4 linked regions of the Caenorhabditis elegans genome follow. The protein of the gene in region 1 purifies or fractionates together with the protein of each later gene. This does not show direct contact. Each region holds a gene or a part of one and is shown on either strand. Other genes may lie near its edges.

The links.
Region 2: the proteins of Y32F6A.5 (region 1) and sar-1 fractionate together in Caenorhabditis elegans (co-fractionation; one large-scale study listed by BioGRID). This does not show direct contact.
Region 3: the proteins of Y32F6A.5 (region 1) and twf-2 fractionate together in Caenorhabditis elegans (co-fractionation; one large-scale study listed by BioGRID). This does not show direct contact.
Region 4: the proteins of Y32F6A.5 (region 1) and Y53F4B.39 fractionate together in Caenorhabditis elegans (co-fractionation; one large-scale study listed by BioGRID). This does not show direct contact.

Annotation. Positions count from the first base shown.
Region 1 is NC_003283.11:10,447,603-10,455,221, reverse strand, and holds the start of Y32F6A.5 (Retinoid-inducible serine carboxypeptidase), read left to right. Parts: upstream 1-1,616; coding exon 1,617-1,904; intron 1,905-1,995; coding exon 1,996-2,226; intron 2,227-2,276; coding exon 2,277-2,387; intron 2,388-3,094; coding exon 3,095-3,733; intron 3,734-3,784; coding exon of another isoform or gene 3,785-3,853; exon of another isoform or gene 3,854-3,887; intron 3,888-6,184; coding exon of another isoform or gene 6,185-6,473; intron 6,474-6,523; coding exon of another isoform or gene 6,524-7,040; intron 7,041-7,094; coding exon of another isoform or gene 7,095-7,146; intron 7,147-7,189; coding exon of another isoform or gene 7,190-7,341; intron 7,342-7,619. Other genes in the region: F22E12.1 (BPTI/Kunitz inhibitor domain-containing protein), read left to right, coding at 1-892, 944-1,029.
Region 2 is NC_003282.8:4,511,386-4,514,879, forward strand, and holds sar-1 (Small COPII coat GTPase SAR1), read right to left. Parts: upstream 1,935-3,494; 5' UTR 1,928-1,934; coding exon 1,882-1,927; intron 1,837-1,881; coding exon 1,717-1,836; intron 1,519-1,716; coding exon 1,453-1,518; intron 1,402-1,452; coding exon 1,165-1,401; intron 1,106-1,164; coding exon 993-1,105; 3' UTR 508-992; downstream 1-507. Other genes in the region: ZK180.8 (uncharacterized protein), read right to left, coding at 55-198. UniProt on the Caenorhabditis elegans protein: Small GTPase that cycles between an active GTP-bound and an inactive GDP-bound state and mainly functions in vesicle-mediated endoplasmic reticulum (ER) to Golgi transport.
Region 3 is NC_003284.9:16,444,348-16,451,851, forward strand, and holds twf-2 (Twinfilin), read left to right. Parts: upstream 1-1,849; 5' UTR 1,850-1,970; coding exon 1,971-1,995; intron 1,996-3,538; coding exon 3,539-3,761; intron 3,762-4,417; coding exon 4,418-4,538; intron 4,539-4,613; coding exon 4,614-4,751; intron 4,752-4,798; coding exon 4,799-4,882; intron 4,883-5,247; coding exon 5,248-5,398; intron 5,399-6,080; coding exon 6,081-6,202; intron 6,203-6,405; coding exon 6,406-6,543; 3' UTR 6,544-6,672; intron 6,673-6,864; 3' UTR 6,865-6,989; downstream 6,990-7,504.
Region 4 is NC_003280.10:15,108,593-15,116,144, forward strand, and holds the start of Y53F4B.39 (Beta-lactamase-like protein 2 homolog), read left to right. Parts: upstream 1-1,551; 5' UTR 1,552-1,559; coding exon 1,560-1,657; intron 1,658-3,575; coding exon 3,576-3,707; intron 3,708-3,761; coding exon 3,762-4,034; intron 4,035-6,785; coding exon 6,786-7,272; 3' UTR 7,273-7,552. Other genes in the region: wshc-4 (HEPN_LA2681 domain-containing protein), read left to right, coding at 263-416.

The sequences.
Region 1 (7,619 bases):
CACATTGAGACAGTTCGAAACCCTGATGGTAGCAATGTTGTTCGACAAAGAATAAAGTGGACAGCTTATCCAAAAGGAGCAAGAATTCCTGAACATGTTCCAGTACCTCCCGTGGCTCAACTTCCACCACTTCCACCAATGCAACAAGTGATTCAACCCATTTTGACCACTCAGGCAGTTTATACAACTGAGGAACCATACATTCCATTGATCACGACAGTGCCAACCCATGAAATTTCCCGTTTAAAACATGAAGAAATGCAAAGAAAGTACAAAGAAGATCTGGAAAAACGGCAGGAAGAGCAAAAGAGACAACAAGAAGAACATAAGAAAAAGATTCAAGAGTTGAAAGCTGCACAGCAAAGAGAACGTGAGAGAATGATGGTTGAAAGAGAAAAAGCTGAAAATGATAGAAGATTGAAATATGAAAATGAAATGAAGCAACGGGCTGAAGAGTACCAAGCAAGAATGAGATTAACCACGATACCAACTCCAACCACTACAGTTGAAACCACAACTGAATATGTTCACGTTCCATATCCAACTCTTCCTGTCAATGAAGTTGTATACGATGCACATATCAGAAAACCAATCCCAACAAGCAAGTCAATTGCCGAACCAGTTGAACACTTCAGGCCAATTATCGAAAATGTGACGCCTGCGTCTCTTAGTCTCGAAGATATAATTGCAATGGATAATCAAAGATCAGATTATGAAGATGAATATGATGTTCCAATGGACTTCCCAGATACGGAAGCACCACCATTGACAACAAGACCTCCACCAGTAACGGTTCGAAATACTCGACCACCTCCTCCACCACAAATACCACAACCAAGATCTCCGATTAATGGAGGAATGCCTTCAATTGTTCAACCACCTAGCAGTGGAAGTGAGTATTATTGTGAGAATTTCATTTTAAAAAATTCAAATATATTTCCAGAGAAATCGAAATTGTTCGCACCACCATCAAGTGAAGAGTACACTCAAGAAGTTGATTTTGATCCATACGTAGACTTTGTCAAATAAGAACTAAAAACTATTAAATTTAATTTCTAATCTTCTTGATACGTGTATATTTACATTTTCTAGGTTTGAAATTCTCTGAATTGAACATTTTGGAAAAAACTGTTATCGGGAAAGAAATCTTGAAATTTTAAAAATCTTACCTCTTTACTTTGTCCTTGAGGATCTTCATCTCTATCCTTTCCCGCTAGTATTCCTAGATTTTTTTTCCAATTTTTTTTCAAGTTTTGAGAAAGTTAATCCTAGGAGACCGTTCCAGATACATGGTGCCAGCGGCACGTTAATAATTCATTTTCCCAATTTTATTGATTTTTTCCAGAATAAATTCAATTTTTGTGATGATTTTATTAAAAAATATTTTTTTTTAATGTTCCCGCCTCTTTCTTTTCATTTCTGATAACACATACCACTTTTATCGTCATCGTCTCCACCGCCCTCCCTCAACAAAAAGAACTTTACAGCTTTTTGATTTATTGGCTCTTTGCGGTGGCTCCAATTGACAAGACGGCAGTCTGATGGTCACGGGATATTTGTTCTTGAATCTTCTGCTTCCTTCTTTATTTTTTCTTTACATTTATCTCATTTTTCAGATGAACTTGTTGTTTATTCTCTCATTAGTGAGCCTTGCTGCGGCGGGTGCTAGCAATTCAGTTAATACTTGGGGAGGTGTTATTCAATATGATGAAGATTGGGGATATGTTGATATTCGTACAAATGCTCATACTTTCTGGTGGCTTTATGCAGCAAAGCCTGCCAATTCTCAACGTCCACTCTTTCTCTGGTTGCAAGGAGGACCTGGATCATCTAGTTCCGGTTTTGGAAACTTTGAGGAAACTGGACCAAAGACGTTGAATGGATCTGACAATCCAGCTACTTGGGTACGATATTTTCTGTGATTGTTATTTTAAACACTGTATTTTTTTTTTGAAATCAAGATCTAAATTGAAATTTGAAAAGTTAAAAATTTAGCTTCAAGTTGCTGACATGGTCTACGTGGACAACCCCGTTGGTGCTGGTTTTTCCTATGTCGACGATAAATCTGCTTACACCACTGAAATCACTCAAATTGGAAAAGATTTGCTCGCGTGGCTTCGCAAATTCCTTGCTCTTCATCCAGAGTATCGTACTCGTCCGTTCTACATTTTCTGTGAAAGTTATGGAGGTAAAATGAGCGCTCAATTTGCTAAAGTCATAACTGATGTAAGTTTCGAGGTAACCATAAAAAAAACTAATTAACTGTAGTTGTTTAGTCTATCAAAGCTGGAAGTCTTCAACTCAACTTCCGCGCTGTTGCTCTCGGAGATTCATGGATTTCTGCAATGGATTATGTCAACACCTGGGGACCATATCTTTATGCTAATGTGAGTTCATATGATCATAGGACACTTTTATGTGTTCCATTCCCCAAAAAAATTTGTTTTGTTCTAGCAAATAACATTACTATTTAAATATTTACAGTAAGATTTAAAATGTGATAGTTATCACAAAAAAAATCCAAAAGCAAATCCGACTATCTCGAGACGTTTTTCTGAATATCGTAGAAACTTGTTTTTGAGACTTTGACAATCCACGAGAATTATTCAAAAAAATATAGTTACTTCAAACTGTTACGTCCTTTTACGTCACAGCTTTCAAAAGTCAAAGACGAATAGGGCTATTTCAGTCTTTTTGCTTCATCGGTTTGAGACTTTTTCATTTGTGATAGGCATAAAAAATTAAGACAGGAGACACTGAGAGCACTTTTTGAAATAATTTTTTTTCAACAACAAAAAAAAAGTTGTAATATAATATTGCAACATATTTCAAAGAATTGCCCCACTGATGATACTCTTTTTTAAAAACGTATGTGGCGTATAAATATACAAACCACGCATTCCGGGAAATTCATTAATACCCGAATAACTTGTGATGTAGACAAACGTGCATATGTTCTTATGGTTTCATTGTAACGACACAAAAATGAAAGTACGGTTCTGACCAACAAAAAGGTGACAATTCGTCAGTTTTTCCATGTTTTAATCCGCTTATCAAACACGTAGAAACCCCAAAATTTCAATTACGTTTTCAGTCTTTCCTTGATGACCATCAATTGAATACAGTTAATGCTGAAGCAGCAAGATGTCAAGCACTCGTGGATCAACAGAAATGGGAAAAAGCAACGAATTGTTGGGGAAATATGGAGAATTTGATAAGTGTTGAGACGAATGATGTCTCTTGGTATAATATTCTGAAGAAAGGAGATACTGATGACTGGAGTTCATCTGCAATGAGATCAAATAGAGTGATGACTTCAACTCGTAGATTGTATAATCGATTCGTTGCTCCACAGAATTTGGATTCTCTTTCAAATTACATGGATACAGTTGTTCGCAAGAAGTTGGGAATTATTCCGGATAAGGTGAAGTTCGGAGGACAAGCTGGAGACGTGTTCAGTTATCAACAAGGAGACTTTATGACACCAATTTGGAGTACTGTAGATCAGCTTCTAAAGGATGGATACAATGTGATTGTGTATAATGGAAATGAAGATTTAATTTGTAATACAATGGGAACTGCTGCATGGGTTAATCGGCTCACTTGGGACGGTGCTGCTACATTTAATTCAACAACTAGACATTCATTCAAAACTCAATCATTCCCATTGGCTGGATATTACAAGACTTACAAGAATTTGCAATTCTGGTGGATTCTCAGAGCAGGACATATGGTAAATTATTTTTAATTTTAGAAAACATTATTGGAATAATATTAATTTCAGGTTGCATATGATACCCCAGAATCTGCAATCTTCATGTTGAAGGCCGTGGTCAAGCAGTATAATGCATAGAACTTTCTCATTTTCTTTATTTATAAATGTATTCTTTCTCTCTGTATGATTTCAACCAATGTAAGCTGGACGTCTTCTCTTTTTATTAACCATTATTATCCGTTCACAAAACATGAGCGTGCACAAAAATGATTGCAAACTTTCTGAACCGAAAACTGTAAACAATTGAGAGATGATTAGAAATGAAAAGGTAAGTTTGGACGGGGATGAGAAGACATCGTGGACTGATGTATGAATGAAGGGAGAAGTTTATGAGACTGTTGGAAAAAAGGATAAATGACTTATCGTGGATAAAACGACAAATCGAGAAGGAAGAAATTGTGGTAAAAAATGAGGAAAAAGAGGAAAGAAAATTGGAATGCGTGCCTTTTTTGGAGGAAGAAACGAGTGTGATTCCTCCGACATTCTTTCTTGATTTTTTATCTGTGTATCTGAAAGTGTATCTGAAAGTGTATCTGAAAGTGTATCTGAAAGTGTATCTGAAAGTGTATCTGAAGTGTATCTGAAGTGTATCTGAAGTGTATCTGAAGTGTATCTGAAGTGTATCTGAAGTGTATCTGAAGTGTATCTGAAGTGTATCTGAAGTGTATCTGAAGTGTATCTGAAGTGTATCTGAAGTGTATCTGAAGTGTATCTGAAGTGTATCTCAAGTGTATCTCAAGGATAGAATATACTGTGAAGCCAGAGAGTAAAATATTCTGTGAAGCCAGAGAGTAAATTATGCTGTGAAGCCAGAGAGTAAAATATTCTGTGAAGCCAGAGAGTAAAATATTCTGTGAAGCCAGAGAGTAGAATATACTGTGAAGCCAGAGAGTAAAATACAGTGTGAAGCCAGAGAGTAAAATATACTGTGAAGCTAGAGAGTAAAATATTCTGTGAAGCCAGAGAGTAAAATACAGTGTGAAGCCAGAGAGTAAAATATACTGTGAAGCCAGACAGTAAAATATACTGTGAAGCCAGAGAGTAAAATATTCTGTGAAGCCAGAGAGTAAAATATTCTGTGAAGCCAGAGAGTAAAATATTCTGTGAAGCCAGAGAGTAAATTATGCTGTGAAGCCAGAGAGTAGAATATACTGTGAAGCCAGAGAGTAAAATACAGTGTGAAGCCAGAGAGTAAAATATACTGTGAAGCTAGAGAGTAAAATATTCTGTGAAGCCAGAGAGTAAAATACAGTGTGAAGCCAGAGAGTAAAATATACTGTGAAGCCAGAGAGTAAAATATACTGTGAAGCCAGAGAGTAAAATATTCTGTGAAGCCAGAGAGTAAAATATTCTGTGAAGCCAGAGAGTAAATTATGCTGTGAAGCCAGAGAGTAGAATATACTGTGAAGCCAGAGAGTAAAATACAGTGTGAAGCCAGAGAGTAAAATATACTGTGAAGCTAGAGAGTAAAATACAGTGTGAAGCTAGAGAGTAAAATACAGTGTGAAGCCAGAGAGTAAAATACAGTGTGAAGCCAGAGAGTAAAATATACTGTGAAGCCAGAGAGTAAAATATACTGTGAAGCCAGAGAGTAAAATATTCTGTGAAGCCAGAGAGTAAAATACAGTGTGAAGCCAGAGAGTAAAATATACTGTGAAGCCAGAGAGTAAAATACAGTGTGAAGCCAGAGAGTAGAATATACTGTGAAGCCAGAGAGTAAAATACAGTGTGAAGCCAGAGAGTAAAATATACTGTGAAGCTAGAGAGTAAAATATTCTGTGAAGCCAGAGAGTAAAATACAGTGTGAAGCCAGAGAGTAAAATATACTGTGAAGCCAGACAGTAAAATATACTGTGAAGCTAGAGAGTAAAATATACTGTGAAGCTAGAGAGTAAAATATACTGTGAAACCAGAGAGTAAAATATACTGTGAAGCTAGAGAGTAAAATACAGTGTGAAGCCAGAGAGTAAAATATACTGTGAAGCCAGAGAGTAAAATATACTGTGAAGCCAGAGAGTAAATGCAACTAAAAAAATGTTTTTAAATTATTGGAAAATCTAGTTTTCCTGATGGGAAAATTTTGCATTTTTTTGAAAATACTTGAGGCAAACTTTTATTTCTGCTAGATTGTGACTCTCTGAGATCCGCTCCACACTACGAAAAAAGCGTGGATCGCAGAGGCCGTCGAAGGCACCTTGCCGCGCCGCAATAAAAGCCGTACCTCAAAGGATTCACAAAATTGATGTTCACTCTCTGTAGGAGTTACTATGTCATTTAAAATATCAAAATGGCATGTAGAAGACACAAGAATTTTTCAGAAGTTTCATTTCAACAAGCCACAAGGAGAACTAAAGAAGGCCACAGAGAGTAGGACATAAAAAAAAGAGGATGGGGGGAGGGGGTTACAGTTCTCAAGTATTATCGTCTAGATCCATTAAAATTTGGAAAAGCTTCTCAATATGGACACAGCAAGTTCCAATTCTCATTTGATCCGTGGCTGAAAAAATCGTGTTGACCGCATGCATATCAATGATAGTTTGTTTGTCTCCTTGGAAGTAAGTTTTTGGATCATTCGACATCATTGTAGCTTTCACAACTTTGTGTGTCCCACATATCAGCTCCAAATCAGGATTCTGTCCAGAAAGGTGATTTTTTACGAAGAACAATGGATTGCAGATATTTTTGGCTTCTTCATCTCCTGCAAAGAATACAATTACCTTTCTGTTTCGGGGTTTCTCTCAAACTAACCTCCTGTCTGCACAGCCTTTTGAATGGCGGTGTAAAATCAATTTCAACAGATCTATACTTGATCAAAAATGATCTTTTGATCGAGTAAACCAAAGTAGTGATAAGTTCCTCTACCAGATCTTGGAAATCGTTTAAGTTAATATTGCACATTGAGATTTCTGCAGTTAACACCAACGGTTGTCGTTGAGAATTCCATTTGAAGACTCGTTCAATTCCTTGAGTGACTAGCATTCTGTTATAGAGTTCAGTCATTTTGCTGTATACATAATCAATGTTAATAGACTGTCTTTTGTTAAATGATTCCAAAGCGATCGGATTCATTATCACGCGATTGGTTTCCAGGAAGAGCAATTGATAAAGGTATTTCAGTGTTTCAATATGGAGTTTGCTGACAATCAAGGCATGTTCTCTGGCTTCATCGGTATTATTCAATTCTTCCAGATTCGGGAAATCAGCTTCGATTTCTTCAGCTTTGAATGAATCTCTCACTTGTTCGAGATTATTGCTTTTAGTCAATCTAGAAATAAAAATAATTGAATACACAGAAGACAGGATAAAGTGGGAAACAAACCCTTCAGCAGTCACTCGATACGATTCCTTCGTTGTTTACAATTCTTCCAAATCTAAATGAAAACCATTAGAAGAGAACTCTGATTTTTGTCTCACTGCTCGTAATAACGTTGTGCTTCAAACGCTTGGCCATCGAGAATTGCGTATTCGCGGTAAATGTGTTTCATTTTTGTACGGCCATTTTGATCTCTCAGTCGTTCCAAAAGGAATCTGATCAATTTTAGGTTGTCTTCCTTTGAAATTGTCATTTCGGGACTGAAAAAAATTGTGATCTTCCAAAGTGGAAACAATATCAATCCTGAGACTGAAAAAAACGTTCAAAAATAATATTACCGACACAAGAGACGTCAACGACGACAGAGTAGATGTTGTTGTGGACGATATAATCAAGAAATGACTAAAATACAACAGTTCATTTACGCATCGACTTCATAATGATGTGATGTTCACGTCGAGTATATATTAGTTTAAAAAATTGATTAAATATTTTATTAATATTATTTTTATTTGATACGTTTATTTGAAC
Region 2 (3,494 bases), on another chromosome or scaffold:
TTTTAATAGAGTTTACAAGTAAAATATAGATGATGATAAATTCAAAATATTTATTTAAAATTCTATGAATAAAGGAGGTTCCCTTCCCTGATTATTGGATATTCGTAGTGGGTGCACACGAACACCATTGCGTCGAGAGAGTGGAGGAATAGAGAATTGGAGTGAGCTGTGTGCACTCAAATGTACTGCAGAAGCCATCTGTGAGACTACGACGAAAAGGTTCTTCTGGAAAAATAGCCAATTATCTGATCTGAAATTAATTTTTTTTCCGCACCTGAAATAGAAATGTGTCCGTTTGACCACTTGGAACACAAACCACATAATGGAATGTTTGACCATGTCGCCTGACTACAGGCCCTTGTGATCAAATGTACTCCGATCAACAATTTTCTTTTCAAATTCCAAGTTTTTCAGTTTCAGTTATAACTATAGTTAAAGCTCGCCACAAAGAAAACAACTATATGGCGTGACGTTTTTTTTCTTGTGAGTAGCGTGATAAGAGAATAATTTCTGGGAAAACTTCGAACTGCAACATTCCGAAGCTGTTTCATTCACATAGAACTAACCGAAATAAAAAATTAGAAAATCTGAGGGGGAAATGAAGTGGGACGAGAAGAAAAATGGGGATGTTTGAATGATAGTGATGTGATAAATACGGAATAGATGAGGAAAAGGTTTGAATAAATTTTTGTGGAGAATAGAAAAACAATGAGGACGCCGTGAATTTTTTACAAGTCCGTATAAGTCAAAATTTATAAATAAAATAAAATGGGATTGCGGCTTGCTTTTTTATGCACAAACGTCGAAGGCATGAGAAGTTTAATGATGAGGATCCCAAGGATCCCAAAAGAAAAAACGAAGGAAAATGACAAGTACGTACAACAAATCTATGGGAAATGTTGGCGGCGCAATATGTAAGAGAATGGTGCTTTTTTCGAGAATGGAATAAAAAAGGAGTGAGCAGAAGAAGAAGAGTTCAAGAACTGATCTGTTTACAGGTACTGTCCAAGCCAACGGATTCCTTCTCCGTATCCTTGTCGCTGAAGAACAGAGCACATGAACACTTCCATCGGCCGAGAAGCCATTTCGTTGCGGGAAACGTCTCCTATAAAGATTTTCGTTTTTTAAATAAATTCAAGCGATAATTTCCAATCAAAAACCAACCCTTTCCGGTGCACATATGTTGAATGTTGAGTTGCCACTTGAGCTGATCCTCACTCAATGCTCCTGGCTTGTCAATCTTGTTTCCGAGAATAAGCACTGGAACGGAAGCGATCTGCTCGTCCTGGAGCAGCGATTCGAGCTCAACACGGCTTTCTTGCATTCTTTCGGCGTCGGCCACATCGATCAAGAAGACGACGGCGTCCACGGCAGGGAAGTAATCTTTCCAGACTCGTCGTGCTGGAAAAATGAAGAAAATTAGTTTAAAAAACCGAAAAAACGAGTGAATACCTTGCGCGTGACCACCGAGATCGTATGTGGTAAACGAAATTCCTCCGAGTGACATTTGCTCAGATGCTGAAAAATAATCAATTCAATAATTCTCACAACTAGTTTTTTGCGTCATCATCTTTAGCAATTGACAGATGATAAGCAAAACCGGTCAATCAGCTGTAAAGAAGAGAAAGATATCATTTTTTTAAAGTAAGATTCCTTCCTTTAACAGGCTGAACTACACCGGAATTGCTTTTAAAATCAATAAAAAGCGATAATTACTTGGGTGAAGAGTGGGAACGTGTTGAGCAATACGATCATCTTTAAGCATGTGAAGCAGTGTAGTCTTTCCAGCGTTGTCTAGTCCCAAAAATACCAATTTTCCCTTTTTGTTGGCCAATCCTGTAAATAAAAGGTTTTATGATGGTAAAATTCAGTTTTACAAACCCAGCATGTTGAGCACTCCATTAAACCAGTCCCATAAAAACGACATATTGAATCTGGAAAATTATGCAATTAATTTATTAATTAAATCACTTAAAAATCGGGTAAATCAGGCATTTTTTAGAGAATAAATGAATGAACTGAAATAGATCAAAAGTGGGAACTTTTAGTGGTTAAATGGGGGTGAGAAAAGAGGAAAAGAGAGAAAATAACGAGGCGGAGACATTCTGTGTAGCGTGCTACACAGAGACAAAACGACACGCGCTTCCACGTGTACCCGAAAAGAGAAAAGAGACGCAGTGTGATAATCAAAAAATTCTAATTCTGAAAATCGGCGATTCGGGACCAGGAAAGCTTCATTTAAAGTGAATCCGGAAAGCGCTGACGTGTCCAAAGTGGCAGATGGTCGAGAAGTGCGCCAGCGTCGGGAAATGCGTCAGTAAGGATGAAAGGCGCGCTTTCCGTGCGGAATGGAGAAAATACGCTTAAGCTTTAAATAACAATTAAAGGCATGCAAAATTCGACAAATATCACAAATTTTAAGTAGAGACGAAACATAATGGAAAGACAATTGGCATTTACAATGTAAAACTCCTAAATTTCAACAATAATCGGTGGAAAATTAAATTTTCGTTTAAATAAAAAGTTTAAAGAATAAAACTTACGCGCCAAAACTCCTTTTAATGAAAAATGTTCAGATCACTTCGAAAAATCGATTTTTGAAACTGATTCGAAAAAATTTAAATGTTGAAAAGAGTTTTTATGGCATGGTTTTTTCTCGATAAAAAAGAAAACGTGAAGGAAATGTTTTTCTTTTGAAATTATTCATTGAAATTTGAATTTATAAAATAGTAAAACTTATTCAGCTACATTTGGTCTCGACACGCCAGATAATTTGTTTAATGCCTCAAAAAAAGCGTGCGCCTTTAAATACTACGGTATATTTCTTCGATTTTAAATCCGCTCAATTTTTGAGAAACTGAAAAATGAAATTTTTAATACCATGGGAGAAACTAATACCGCGACCCGAAGGTTTGTCATTTTTGTGGCAAAATACGGTATCCGGTCTCGACACGACAATTTGTTGTTAATTGCAAAAAGGTGTGCGCCTTTAAAGAGTACTGTAGTCTCAAACTTCTGTTGTTGCACAATTTTCATTGTTTCTCATATTTTTCTTAAAAATAGGTGTATCAATTATAAAAAAATATAAAGTAGAGTTTCCTACCGTCCAATGTAGGCTATGCCAACACGCAAAATTCACGTTAGTTTGAAAGTTTTCATTTTCAAAAAAAAAATCAAGTTCATTCATTTATTTTTTTTTTCGAACTTTATTTTAAGCCAGTCGGAGTAGGTCGAGCCGTAGGCTCGAACGACACCGGCTGGTCAATTATAAAAAAAAACACACATAAATATTATTTAGCAAATCGCGAGTAAAACTGCAAAAAATCGATGAAAATTCCGCTGCACCAAAAGTTTCAAACTACAGTACTCCTTTAAAGGAGTACACCTTTCTGTGTTTAACAAAGATAGTCATGTCGAGACCGGGTACCGTATTTTCGCCTCAAAAATTACGATTTTTTCGTTTTTTTTTAACTCAAAAACCTGTAAAAATATTT
Region 3 (7,504 bases), on another chromosome or scaffold:
AGCCGTCTGTTTGTTCAGTGATGTGGTAAAGCGGCATAGGAACATTCTTTGAGTTTTGATCCAAATAGGAACAGTTCTTATGTTTGATGGCAGTCTAGGCAAGACAGATTTTTATAGAGTTAATTTTAAAAGAAACATGAAATTAATAAAAATACATATTCTGATAGCAACAACTATTTTTAATGTTTTCTTGAGAATTTTTGGTTGTCTTCTAATTTGGTGCCTCAATACTTCAATCTGTGATTCTTTTGGGCTTTAATAAAAAACAGTGCCGGATAAGAAATCCAGGTGTACCTAATTATAATTGAAAGTTAAAATTGAAAAACATGAAACCGAAGTAATATAAAGTTTTTGAAATTTCAAATAAAGTCTCAACTTTTAATAAATATAGGTTTATACGGTCGAATTGAAAATAATAAATTATTAGTTGTTCACCTAATTTTTAGTAAATAGTGGCAGGGAATTGATTTTACTCACAATAAGCTTTATCCTAAAATCAACTATTTTACCATGTTTTTCCTAAAATCAACTATTCAACCCATTTTATTTTTTTTAGAATTAAATTCATTGAAAATTAATTGATTAGGTTTATTATATTAATTAGTTAATTAGTTTAATGCAAAATGAAACATCAACTTGGTAAGATGTGTTCCTTATCACTACTAACCTTGGAATGGCAATATATTAACTTTTAAAAAAAAGTATGTTAACTGCCTTTGAGAGAATTTTTAATACATATACTAATAGTAAAAACATGGCCAATTTACCAAAATCCAGAACAATATTAGAAATGGAAACTTGTGAACTAAAAGAAAATTCTATAATAATTAATTTTAGTTTCAGACACATTCTGCATATTGGTATAGACATGTAGTTGCTTTACAGTTTATTTCAAAATTTAGCATTCTGAACATTTTGCTGTAATTCTTATTAAGTAGTTAGTTTATTTAATTTAGGATGAAGCTTCAAATTGGTAAGATATATTCCTTATCACTATGTACTACTTGGCAAAAAATTTTCAGCTATGAAATTGAAGCAAGAAGCATCTTTGTTCTATATACAGTCTATAATATTCAGTAGACCTAAACATTTCTATGCTTTTTTCATACAAAAATATTAATTCCAGAATAACACTTTCTTATCTAATGCATTTCTTTTCAAAACATCCCACTGTTCTGTTTGCACTGCAAATTTTCAAAAGAACGTGCTTGAAGTCTGTTTGACATTTATCACAGCACACGTAATTGCGTTTCGAAAACCTCACCGCGGTCACAAGTAACGTAATGCACAGCACATATGTTCCGTCATCTTCGATTCTTGGTTCAGTTTCGAATTTCCGAATTATTACACCGACTGACACACACACACACACACACATACAGAAACTTAGAGACCGACACGCAAGCCTGCCGCAAAAACATACACTTAAACTTTCTCTTTTTCATGTTTTGTCATCGAGAAGATGTTTCAATTACAGTGAAAAAATGTAAGGTTCAGAGGTCTAGAAAAGTGTTAATAGGCCGTCTCCACACGATTTCTGTTCATCTTCCTCTATTCCTTCTTTTCCGGGAGAAGGACAGAAGGAAAGAGAGAGAGAGAGAGACTCCAACAAGCGGGCACCATCACGTTAAGGCAAACGAGACGAGGCCTGACGTTTTCTGCACAATAGAGGATGAGGGTTGCCAGACGTGACGGGCAGTTTGTAAAATAGCATGAGGTTTTGAGAGATAGTGTGCACGGGCAGCCGAACATTTGGATGGGAAGGAAGATGGAGACGGAGGAATAAAGGAGGGAGGGGAAGAGAGGTTGGCAGAGAAATTGAGAAAAAGAGGGGCGAAGGCGATGGGGGGCACTAGTGCGTTGGTTTTGCGTTGTGTTGCGCGCAATATTAGCTGCTCTCTTCAACCCGTTGTTATAAATATACATATACATTTATTTTTTTTCCCGGAAGAGGAGAAGAAGCTACTACTATGGCGTGCCAAACTGGAATCAGAGGTTAGTGGTTTATAAGGGGGGTTAAGTGGGTGTTGACTCAATATTTGAGTTTCAACTAGTTTTTTGTTCGCTCACTATCCAAATAGTACCGTTTCATACCAAATATGAGGTTTACCACCCAAACTTCACTTTTCTTTTCTGCAATGGTTGGCGACGCTGAGCCAGCTGTCGATAGCAGTTCTGTGCAAGGTATTCGGCATTTTTATAAGACGTAATTTTTTGGAAGAAAAACTATATTTGATAGAACGTTATATAAATTTTGATAACCGTATTATTTATCTATATAAGTCTATTTAATGTTGTAATTTTTTGGCGAATTATTTGAATAAAATGATCATTGGAAAACGTGAGAACATCAAAATTCAGTTTTTGGGCTTGAACTAATGTTTAAGTCACAGCTACACGGTAAAAAATATCTCCAATTAGAAAAGCAACCCGGACCGTAACTTTCAACTTCCTTTAAGAAGTGAATAATCTAATTTTTTGAAGAGTTTCTTTGAAACTATTTTTCTTGAGATAATCTGACACACTCCTAGTTTCCAAACAATTTCCACTATAACAATTGTTTTTCGAAAGTAGTTCCTTCTCCAACCCGGCACTTTTCATGTCAATTCCGATTCAAATTTTCCTCCATAGTACCCCCCCCCCCCTTTATTCCAGGATTATTTTCCCATCGTCCTCAAAAGATTCGAAAAAAAAGAAGGTCTTAGTAAAGTGAACACCCCATCTTTTGGCGTTTACGCATATAACCTTGACGCACAAATTCTTCATCCTTTCTCCCCCCCCCCCACCTATTTTGCATCTTTCAAGGGAAACCCGGGGGCCGATGGAAAGGTTCAAATTCAGAACAATGATCCGCCTGTGATATAAGGATGAGGGGTTCATCGGGAGAGGATAATATTACACACGCGTTGCACTGCCTTTCAATGTTGACAATGGATATGGGGGGGGGGGGGAAGAGGGGAGAAGGAGGTAAAAGGAGCTTTTGATTTCATCCCCCCATCCTCGCCCCAACAATTCCAAATCCCGGCGTAGCCCCCCGACCGTTTGTGGAGAGAGTGGTGCATTCCGTTAATAATGAAAACCTGCCAGCATGCGGGAAATAGTGCGCGCATACAGTCGGAGGCAGCACGTCCACCCCGCGAAAACAAACTGAAAGAGTCCTCATTCTCCATCATGTTCATTCATTTCCCGCAAATAGTGTCTATCACCTGCTCCGCGCACCCACAGAGCACACCGCACCCCAGTGGGCCACTGTTTCATAAAAAAAGATGAAGTGGGATGATTTGGATGTACTTTTTTAAATTCAGTTATTTTTAAGATTATCTCTAATGACTTCTTCCTAGTGACTGAGCACTAAAACTAAAACACAGGCTACCCAGCAGTCCCAGACACACTTCTCTTCCAAACTATACAACATCAATTCTTTTGGGAGCAGCCAAAGGCTCATACAAAAAGGAAGGGGACATTTGGGAAAAAAAAAGAAGCATTGGCGTGGGGGGTAGTAGAAAGAAAGAAATGACGAGAAGACGACGTTTTGCAGCTAACGCGGCACTTCGAAATGCACTCAACTTGGGAAAACAGGCGAAACTGAGGCTCATCAAGATTGTGGTGAATAATGAGGAGATGACGCCGAACTACGAGTTTGCTGGAACCGCCAACTGGCGTGACGACTGGAGGGCTTGCTTGCCGGACTGTGTGGATGCCTACGAGCCGTGCTTCATTCTGTTCCGGTTGAATACCATCACAGAATGGGTTTTGATCACGTAAGTTTTTTTTTAATCAAAAAATCATATAGTTGTCATGAATTGAACCACTTAAAGATTTTAACAAATAGTTATATTTAACTATTTGTTAAAATGTAAAAATGTTGTTGCACCAGTCTTGAAATTTGTTTCCAATCAGCATACGTTCTAGCTTCTGAACAAAATCTGCCAGATTTTTGGTGAAAGTCGAGTTAAATTTTATAAGTACAACCTGATAACAGCCTAAAAAACTTTCATAGGCTTTTGTTTTAAAAAGCTTAAAAAGTTTATTGCTGTGCAGCAGGAATATTTTTGCCCGTACACCAGGTACCAGGAAGAAAGCATTTAGAAGTTATAGCTTTGGACTAGCATCCGTTTTAAAATTGTGATATGGTTATATACAAGACTAAGCAAATGTTTTTTTTTTCAAAATTTAGAACTCATTTTTGAAAAGTCTTGTTCGAATTTAGAAACCTATCCTCCTTTGTACCGTAACGAAAAAAAAACTGAAAATAATAACTTTTCCACACACGGTCCTGCTTACACCGTAGTTACTTCAATTGTCAAAAAAAAAAACAATTCCCTATAATTTCCTACTTCACTCTATTTGATTGACTTCCAACACATGTTTCCATTCTGCAGTGCACAATGAAAATATATAGTTTTTGTTTTTATAGGTTTGTCGACGATCGTGCTCCAGTCCGTGAAAAGATGCTTCTGGCCGCCACATGTGCTACATTCAAAAGCGAATTCGGACAGTGTTACATTGAGCACGAAAAACACGTCACTGATCTGAAGGTTCGTGGAGAGTTATTGGGAATCAGCCTGTGAAGAAACTTGCTAAGAAAAAAAAGGAAAAAAAATTAATTTCAGGATCTCACGCTGAACGCGTTCGAGGCGTGGCTCAAGGCAAAAACCGAGTTAGGACCAATGAGTGAAGTTGAACGGGAGCTCCACAATGCTCAGCAAGAAAGAGCTGCAATTGCACATGCCGGACCACAACATATGAAGGTATAGGAAATAAGTTTTGATGATATTCAGTTTCAATAATATTGCAGGGTGTCGCGTTCCCAGTGGATCGTAATGCTGAGGAAGCCCTCCGGCAGTTGGCTAGCCAGAAGCTCAGTTTTGTTCAGCTCTCGGTAAGCTTTTATACATTTGAAAAAGAACACTAAAGTCAAATCTTAATAGAGAGACTACATATTATAGAAAAACAATGAAAAACATTAATTAAATTTTACGAATTTTTTTTATGCTGAATAATGTTTACAATTGTTCTCAATTTGCATTTATTTGAACAATTTTTTCAAAAAAAAAAACGCATAGTGTTCCAAAATACGTTAGTTTTCAATATTCTCGATACTCACTAATTTGATATTTAGAACTGTCAAATAACAATGTAAACACTTAACCTATATTTTCAACGCGTATATTTCTAAAACCGGAACACCGATTAAAATTATAATATTCAAACTGCAATAAATTGTGGATTATCAAATTTTTCCAGGTCGATACCCTCAATGAAGCCATCAAATTGGAGGGAACCCTCGAATCATTGGAACCATCGCAGCTTGCATCAAAAGTGCCACGTGACAAGCCACGATACACCTTCTACAATTTTGATCACACGTGGGAAGGTGTTCCGCAACAATGTACTTGTGAGTCGTTTTTTTTTTTCATTTTACACTTAAAAAGAATGTAGTCTATATAAAAATTAAAATTGTGGAATTAGGAAAAAACATTTACTTAAACTCAAAACTTCCGCGTCTGTCACCAATAATCTTAATCCTAAAATTGGGGCAGACGCTTTTTTCTCTCAACCAGTCCGAGACTAGCCTACAAAGTTTATGCAAAAAATTGACAAAATGCAGAAAAATGAACGAAAATAAATACTCTATTTCAATCAGCTATTTGGCAGATAAAATATTGAAAATGTATACGATCAAGCATGTTATTTGGTTTTTAGGATTTTTTTAAAGATTTAATTTTAATTAGTTCATTTATGTACTCTAAAATTTCTCACTTCGGCAGTTTATAATTTAGCTCAATTTTTAGTCGTGAACAAATTTTAATTTATAAATTCTACATAACTTATATGAAAAATAACCGTTTTCCAAATGTTTGAAAGTACATGTGCACCACTTTCATATACCCCGTTTTATTTTCACATGAAGCTTATATTTTTGAAATGTGATTTTTCAAAAGTAACGAAAAATGTTTTGTTTGTTAGTGAAATTTTTAAAAAAATTCGAAAACAACGGCAATTGAGCTATGTACTACCAAATTGAAAAATAGAGTTAAAATTAAAAGTAATGTTTAAAAATAAAAAAATAATTGCAGTGTTTATCTACTCGTTGCCATCATCTGGAAGCTCAATTAAAGAAAGAATGCTCTACTCAAGTTGTAAGGGGCCATTCCTCAGCGCTGCTCAGAATCAATACGGAGTTGTCATTACGAATAAGGTGAGCATTTTTAGCTGTAAAAAAATTGATGCTGAAAATTCAGTTTCTGCAAAAACGGAGTAACAAAATGTTCAAAATTAGAGAAAAAATTTTTTTAAAAAGGTTAAAAAACGATGTTGGATAAAATATAATTTTTTTTAAACTTGAAGTTTACTTCTCTAGTTCTTTAATCATGTTTCCCTCTTTCAAATTAAATATTGCAGATGGAGGTAGATGCTCGCGACGATCTTTCGGAGAAAGCACTGCTCGAAGTCATTCACCCCCTCCCGGTTGAAGCCCCCAAACAGTTCTCCCGTCCAGCTCCACCACGCGCCGGTCCACGTCGTATCACAAAAGTCTGAACGCTATATCTTTGACGCTACTCATTCAACTCATTCATTTCTACCCAACTATTTTTATTTTATTTCCTAATTTTATAATATTTCTCTATGCATTCAAATTGTAATTAACATCCGCGGTCATTGCATACTGAAACGTCGACCCGAACAAAAACCAAACAAAAAGAAAAAAAAAGTGAAAGAATCGAATATTCATCGTCTCATTTCCCGTCCCGTTTCTCTTCACACCTCTCTCATGCTCTCGCCGCTTCTTCATCTTTTCTCCTCCTCTCCCCCCCCCCCCCCCACCTTCTTCCCAACCTCTCTTTGTTCCTTTTATGAAATGAAATTAACTGTTTCTAGAAAAAAAGAGTAACTTTACCAGCTTTTCGACTGCCTGTACACCATCCAAAAAAGGACCCCAAATTTTCAAAATCACAATTTATCAAAAATCGTTTGAATAAAGATCAACATTTGAGTGTTTCATTCGTCATCTGAAATATCAAATCTGTTTGTGTGCTATATGTATTGAAAAGCTTATTGGAAAAAAGTGTCCTTGTCTTGTCCAGATTCTTATCTTTTGTCAGTGAAATCTGTTTGGTTTTTTGAGAAATCCCAGAAAAAAATCTCAAAATCTTCTAGGCCCTTTTTAAAATGCAATCAAAATCATTTCCTAGAAATTTTCACATTTCTGGCAGTTTGATAGCGTAAGATTCCATTATCACAATGATTCAAAAAAAAGAATTCAAGTTCAATTAATAGGATTAACCGGTGAAAACAAGAGTTTTTGTTTTTTTGCAACCGTTGATTTATACAATTCTCTACGTCGTCCATTGTAATAATGAAAACAAATTGACAATTTTTTGCAAAGTTGTGACGTTAGGCAAGTAAATTTTGAATTTTGTTGTACACAATGTGTTTTTATACACTCGATTTTAGTTTTAAAAAATGTGTTTAAAGATGGTCCTCGTCCTCCCGTTCTCCC
Region 4 (7,552 bases), on another chromosome or scaffold:
GAACAGGAAATCTGGAAAATCTGAAGTTCTAAAAAAATTTACAAATTATTTTTTCGCCAATTTTCAAAAATTGCAATTTATACTTACTTTTCTTGGTAAAACCAATATTAAATTGCGGGAAGAAATGAGCTTTATAAAAAATTCCGAATTTCTCTCAAATTAGTAAAAATTCCAACAAAAAATGTTTTTTTGAAATTTTTGAAAACATTTTTTCAAAAATATTTTTTTTTTTAAATTCTCAATTCTACCTTCCTATTTTCAGCACAAAAGAGCACGAAATTCGTTCACAATCGGAAAGCCGCGAGTACAGTCAGGCAGTACAGTTGAAAATCGAACGACTTCAGACGGAGCTCAAAATTCTCACAAATTTCAAAATGAATTTCGGCATTCAGCACACCATTTTCACGATGAATTAGGTCAAACTACAGTATCCCCCCCCCCCCCCTCACAAATCGTTGCGGGACCCACATTTTTGCTCAAAATTTCATTTTTCTACCGTCTAACACTTGACTTTTTTTCCCCATAATACCGATTTGTTCGTTTCTGTTGTTATCAAATGCTACAGTCTAGCCACATTTTCTCATTTTACTCCCCTTATATTTGTAAAATTGTTTAGTTTGTTTTTTTTTCGCCTGGAAATCGATTTTTTTGCGAATAGTTGAAAAATTTTGGAAAATTTAGAAAAATTCAGAAATTTTAGTTTTTAGTAATTTTTTTAAAAACTTTTTCAGTCAAAAATACTGAAATTTCCGGAATTTCAAAAAAAAATTATAGAAAAGTTTCTTAAAATTATAGCGTTTTGTTGAAATTCCCGATAAAATTGGTAAATCCTGGAAATTCTAAAAATTAAATTTTTTATCCAAAAAATTCAGCTAAACAGAAAATTGTTTGAACTTTTTAATTAAAAATTCCCGATTTTACAGAAAAAGTCAAAAATTTTGAAAAATCGTGAAAATTCTAAAAATTCGATTTTTTTATCGAACATTTTTTTGAGAATCCCAAAAAAACTGAAAAAAATAAAAATTTTAATTAAAAATTTCAGATTTTAGCGAAAATTCTCAAAAATTTTGGAAAAATAGAAAAAATTTCAACTTTTTGATTAAAACTCCCAGATTTTTGCAAAAATTCTCAAAATTTTGGAAAAAAAACTGAATTTTTTCTCCAAAAAATCCTATTTTTGTTAAAATTCTCGAAATTTTTCGGAAAAATCCTAAAATTTCCAATTTTTATCCAAATTTCCATAAAAATCGATTTCCAGCGACTTTTTATCATTACCTAGTTTTTAGTTTTTTTTTGTTTTGAATATTTTTTTCTTTTTTTTCCTCAGCTCCCAATTTTTAAAAACTATTTTAATTTAATATCGTCAATCCTCTCCTGTCACCATTGTTAATGTTTTTTTTTGAAATTTTAATTAAATTTCTACCATTTTTAATCCATTTTTCTCTATCCGATCGATTTTCCATGAAAATTGGTCCTAAAACGACCTAATGACCTATATTTCTGAATCACCCAGAGGCGGGGGCGGAAACATAGATGAGTATCTCGTAATTCAGAACACGATGACGGCGTACGTTGGACGAGCCTGGACGATGCTTCGTTTTTATACGGATTTCGCATACGCCGGTGTTGCCTATTTGGTTAATTCAAAGGCACATAGGTTGGTTTGTAATTCGGGGTCTTGGCGCGAAAGTTTTTTTTTTCAAAATTTCGGCTTTTTGTGTCGATTTACGAGCTTTTCCAGGCTTTCTCGACGATTTTTTTTTTGAATTTTCATAATTTCGGTTTTGTGCCGATTTACGAGAATGACAAAGAAAATTAGGAATTTCAGCTCTTTGTGTAGTTTTACTAGCTCATTAATTCTTTGGTAAATTTTGCCTCTTTGTGTCGATGTACGAGCTTTTTCAGGATTTTTCCACGAATTTTTTTTTGATCTTTTTCCTGAATTTTCGAAATTTCGGTTTTCTGTCGATTTACGAGAATAGTAGAAAATTAGAAATTCCGGCTTTTTGTGTCGATTTACGAGCTTGTGTTCAGTTATTTTTTAAATTCAAGTCAAAATTTCGGATGCCAGTGTAGATTTACGAGCTCATTTTTTGGTGAATTCTGACTGCTTGTGTCGATTTACGAGGTTTTTTCTGACTTTTAGAAATTGTTGTGTTAATTGATAATATTTTTAAATTATTCAATTTTTAAATAAATAATTTAATTCCTAAATTCTGAAAAAAACCAGTGCTCGTAAATCGACACAGAGATGCGTAAATCTACAATGCCATGATTAAAAAAAAACTATTTTCCAGGATGTATGATATTGTTTCTCATGAATCTGAGAAAAATTGAAAAAAAATTCCGCTCGTAAATCGACATCCAGCTGCGTAAACCTACAATGATACCAAAATTTGTTCCCTAATAAAGACATTTTTTTTTCTGAATTTTCTCTGAATTTTTTAAGAAGACTACTTTTTTTTGAATATTTATTAGTTTTAGGGGGCTTTAAAAAATTTTTAACAAACATTGTAAATTGCCGATTTGCCGGAAATTTTCAATTCCGGCAATTTGCCGGTTTGCCGGAAATTTTCAATTCCGGCAATATACTGATTTGCCGGAAAATTTCAATTCCCGCAATTTGCCGATTTGCCGGAAATTTTCAATTCCGGCAATTTGCCTTTTTGCCGGAAATTTTCAATTCTGGCAATATACTGATTTGCCGGAAAATTTCAATTCCCGCAATTTGCCGATTTGCCGGAAATTTTCAATTCCGGCAATTTGCCTTTTTGCCGGAAATTTTCAATTCTGGCAATTTGCCGGTTTGCCGGAAATTTTCAATTCCCGCAATTTGCCGATTTGCCAGAAATTGCATTGTACTATACAATTGCATTATCAATACATTCTGACTTATCGCCCAAGTCACAAAATTGCAAAATTCCATTGGCTGACACCTAGAAATTGGCAAACATCATCATTTAAGTGTAGCCAACTGACTACAGTGTTCCGAAAATAAGGGAAATTTAGAAAGAGAGAGAGAGATAGACGAAACAAGTCACAGAACGATTATCGATCACTTTTCAGTTGGTTTTCTTTAATTCTTCATAGTTTCCCATTTGAAACAATGTCTCGAAATTCAGTAATTTTTCCGGAAAAAAAGTTAAATCAAATTGGTTGTAAAGTTTTGTATTATTTAAAAAAATTGTGCATTTATTAACAATCAGAACCTGTAAAAGTTGGCAAAAATTGAAAAAAAAGTCTCCGTAAATCGACAGCTAGCTGCGTAAAACAACACTGATTGGAGTAGATTTAGACTAGATTATGACTAGATTTAGGAATTAAAGAATTAAATTATTTAAAATATATCGAAATAACCGAAACTAAAACTGAAATCTATTGCGCAACATAATTGACGCGCAAAATATCTCGTTGCGAAAACTACAGTATCTCTTTAACTGACTAATGTAGCGCTGGTTTTGATTTTCGGGCAATTGCAGTTTCGAATTTACTCTGCAAAAAAAATCACAAATTTTGCATAAAGCACTACACTTTTTTCAAAACTTCTCTGAAAATCTCGAAATTCTTTTTTTCAGAGCCATGCCAAGCCTCACTCACGTGGAGCCCATCGAGAAGCTCTCCGACGCGGTCACCAGAATTCTCGGCCACAATCCCGGCCCCTTCACTCTTCAAGGAACTAATACATATCTACTGGGCACTGGTGCAAAGTAGGCAGCAATATTCTGAAAATTTTTAATTTCTAATCAAATTTTTTCTTTCAGAAAAATCCTCGTGGACACTGGTGAGCCGAACGTCACCGAGTACATTTCGGCACTGAAATCAGTTCTCGCATCTACGAATTCCCACATTGAATATATCGTTATTACGCATTGGCATGGCGATCATGTTGGTGGAATCGATAATATTACTGATGAGATTTTGGATAAAAAGAAGATACCTATTTATAAAATGAAACGGGACAAGGATGAGGGTGTCGAGAGATTTCATTATGTTGACGATGGGTTTGAGGTTGCAGTTGATGGAGCCACGCTGAAGTGAGCATTTATCATTAGAGAATTGGTTTTATTAGAAAAAAACCGTAGTAGTACTGTAGGGATACTGTAGTTCCGCTGTAGGTGCACTGTAGGTATGTACTGTAGCATTAAGGAGGACTAACGGTTCGGACGATTTTGACCGTATAGACCCAAAATGAGCTCAAATGAACGAATTTCGTAATGAAACTGCTCAAAACAATTTTCAAAAATTTTTTATGGCGTTTCAAAATTTTGAAAAAATTGAAAAAATGAATTATCGTCCTTTATTACATATATTGGTAATTAATCTCATTTAATTTCGTCGATTAAGGTACATTTAAAGCCGTTAGGTAACCAAAAATCATCGAAATTGGTTACCTATCGGCTTTAAATGTACTTTAATCCACGAAATTAAATGAGATTAATTGCCAATATATGCAATAAAGGACGATAATTCCAAAAAATCCAACTTCGGACAGATGTGACACGAAAAAATGGGAAAAACTCATGATTTTAGGTAAAATCAGTGTAATTTTTTCAAAATTTTGAACCGCCATAAAAAATGTTTGAAAATTGTTTTGAGCAGTTTCATTACGAAATTCGTTCATTTGAGCTCAATTTGGGTCTATACGTTCAAAATCGTTCGAACCGTTAGTCCTCCTTTAGTAGTACTATAGTGATAGTGTAGGGTTACTGTAGGTATATTATAGGAGTACTGTAATAGTGCCGTAGGGGCACTCTAGTAGTACTATATGGGTAGTGAAGGAGTTTTGTAGAGGTACTGTAGGTATATTTCGGTTGTACTGTAGTAGTATTATAGGGTTACTGTAGGAGTACTTCAGGGGTACTGTAGTGATATTGGGAGGGGTGGGTACTGAAGTAGTGATATTGGGGTACTGTAGTAGTACTGTATTTCTAGAAACAAATTAATTGTGTCTTTTTAAATGAGTAGTGTTGTAGGGGGTACTGCTAGAAATCGATTTTTTGTTGTGAAAATTTGGAAAAAATTGGAATTTTCTGAAATTTCAAATTAAATGCAATTTCAGTTACCATCTGTTATTTTTAAGAATTTTTGATTTTAAATTCCTTTGAAATTTTCTATATTATTTTTTTTTCCGGGACGATTTTTTAAATTCCTAATTTTTGTCGAAAATCTCCGAAAATAATAAGGAAAAAACCTTAACAATTAATGTTCCTCAAAAAATACCTTGAAATCTCAGTTTTTTGTTGAAATTCTCAAAAAAAAAAAGGATCCATATTTTTTTTCAAAAAGGAATTTATGAATACAAAATTTTTTGAACGTTTGTTCCAAAAAAATGTGTTAGTACAGTAGTGCCGTAATGGTAGCAATACTGTAGTAGTAGTAGTACTGTAGGGGTAATGTAGGGACATTGTAGTAGTATTATAGGGGTACTGTAGTGGTACTACGGAGGTACTGTAGAAGTTCCGAAGGTGTGCTGCATTAGTACTGTAGGGGTACAGTAGTACAGTAGTACTGTAAGTGTACTGGTACTATAGCTATTTTGTACGTGTACTGTAGGTATATTGTAGTTGCACTATAGTATTATTATAGGGGGTACTGTAGTGGTATTGTACAAGGCTGGGATTTTTTTTTGAATTTTTTTGCCATTGTAACGAAAAATTGATTTTTTTGTTTGTTTTTTTAAGACCGAAAAACCAAAAAAAAATGCATTTTTCACGGTAAAAAAATTAATTCAAGTATCAAATTTTTTGTTGGTTTTTTTTTGATTTTTCCCAAATTTCAATTTTTCTTGGTCCAAAATCAAAACGAAACACTTATTGTTTTTTGATCCCAGCCCTGAAACTGTGGTATTAACTGTAGTAGCATAGCTCTTTTTCAAAAAAATTGAATTGCCATGAGAAATTTTTTTTTGGAAATTTCAAGATATATCAATTTAGCCTTTCTTCGAGTTATTTTAAAAGTGGTGTAGTCGAATTTTTTTAAATTTCTTTATTGGACTCAAAATTGTCTGAAAACACCGAATTTCATAATGAAACTTCTTGAAAACTTTTCAAAAAAAAGTTATGGCCTCTTGAAAAATGGCCTAAAATTAGTGAAAATTTGAAATTTGACCGACTTATCATTGTCGCAGCGGCTGGAAACAATTTTTTTTTGAAATTGTCGTCTAATTTTGGGTATACAGGTCGATTATCTTGCATTTTCAGCTTTATTAAGGTATTTGAAAGTCGATGGACGAAGAGAATTGATGAAAAAAATTTGACAAATCTCTTCGTCCATCGACTTTCAAATACCTTAATAAAGCTGAAAACGCAAGATAATCGACCTGTATAGCCAAAATTAGACGACAATTTCAAAAAAAAATTGTTTCCAGCCGCTGCGACAATGATAAGTCGGTCAAATTTCAAATTTTCACTAATTTTAGGCCATTTTTCAAGAGGCCATAACTTTTTTTTGAAAAGTTTTCAAGAAGTTTCATTATGAAATTCGGTGTTTTCAGACAATTTTGAGTCCAATAAAGAAATTAAAAAAAATTCGACTACACCACCTTTAAAATAACTCGAAGAAAGGCTAAATTGATATATCTTGAAATTTCCAAAAAAAAATTTCTCATGGCAATTCAATTTTTTGAAAAAGAGCTATGCTACTACAGTTAATACCACAGTTTCAGGGCTGGGATCAAAAAACAAAAATTCGGTGTTTTCAGACAATTTTGAGTCCAATAAAGAAATTAAAAAAAATTCGACTACACCACCTTTAAGCTAGTCCATCTTTAAACATTAAATTTCCAGACTAATCGCCACTCCAGGCCACACCGCCGATCACTTCTCTCTGTGGCTCCAAGAGGAACGAGCATTGTTCAGTGGAGACTGCATCCTCGGCGAGGGAACTACCGTCTTCGAGGATCTTCATGACTATATGACTTCACTGCAAAAGATCAAGGATCTCAATGCGACAAGGATTTATCCGGGTCATGGTCCGGTTATCGATAAGGTCGTGGAGAAGGTTGACGAGTACATCGAGCACCGAATGAAACGAGAACGCGAGATTATCAAAGTGCTCAAAGAGCACGAGGAGATCACCAGTATGGATGTGACTAATCAGGTTTATGCTGACTCGCCGTGGGCTGTACGACTGGCTGCGTTGAACAATGTGAAGCTCGTGCTGAAGAAGCTTTGCAAGGATGGAGTCGTTGAGAATCCGCATTTTGAGACTTTCAAGTGGATTGGAGGCAGTAGTAGTGGAGAGGAGAAGAAGAATGAATCGTCGAATTTGTAGAAAAAAAAAATTATTTTTTGGAATTTTAAATATTTAATTCGCTCTTTATGTGTTTTCAAAATGTAGAATTTACGATGTTAATTCGAACTTTTCATAGATTAAATTTAAGTTTTAACCTACCTATATTTGAGAATTCCAAAAAATCTCGAAAATATTCATTTTTTAAATTCGAAAACCATATTTTTTCGAATTAAAAAATTCAAACTTCTGGAAAAAATTTGAAATTTTTAATTTTTTTTGTTTGATTTTTCAAAAAATTTCCGGAAAATTAATTTCAGTA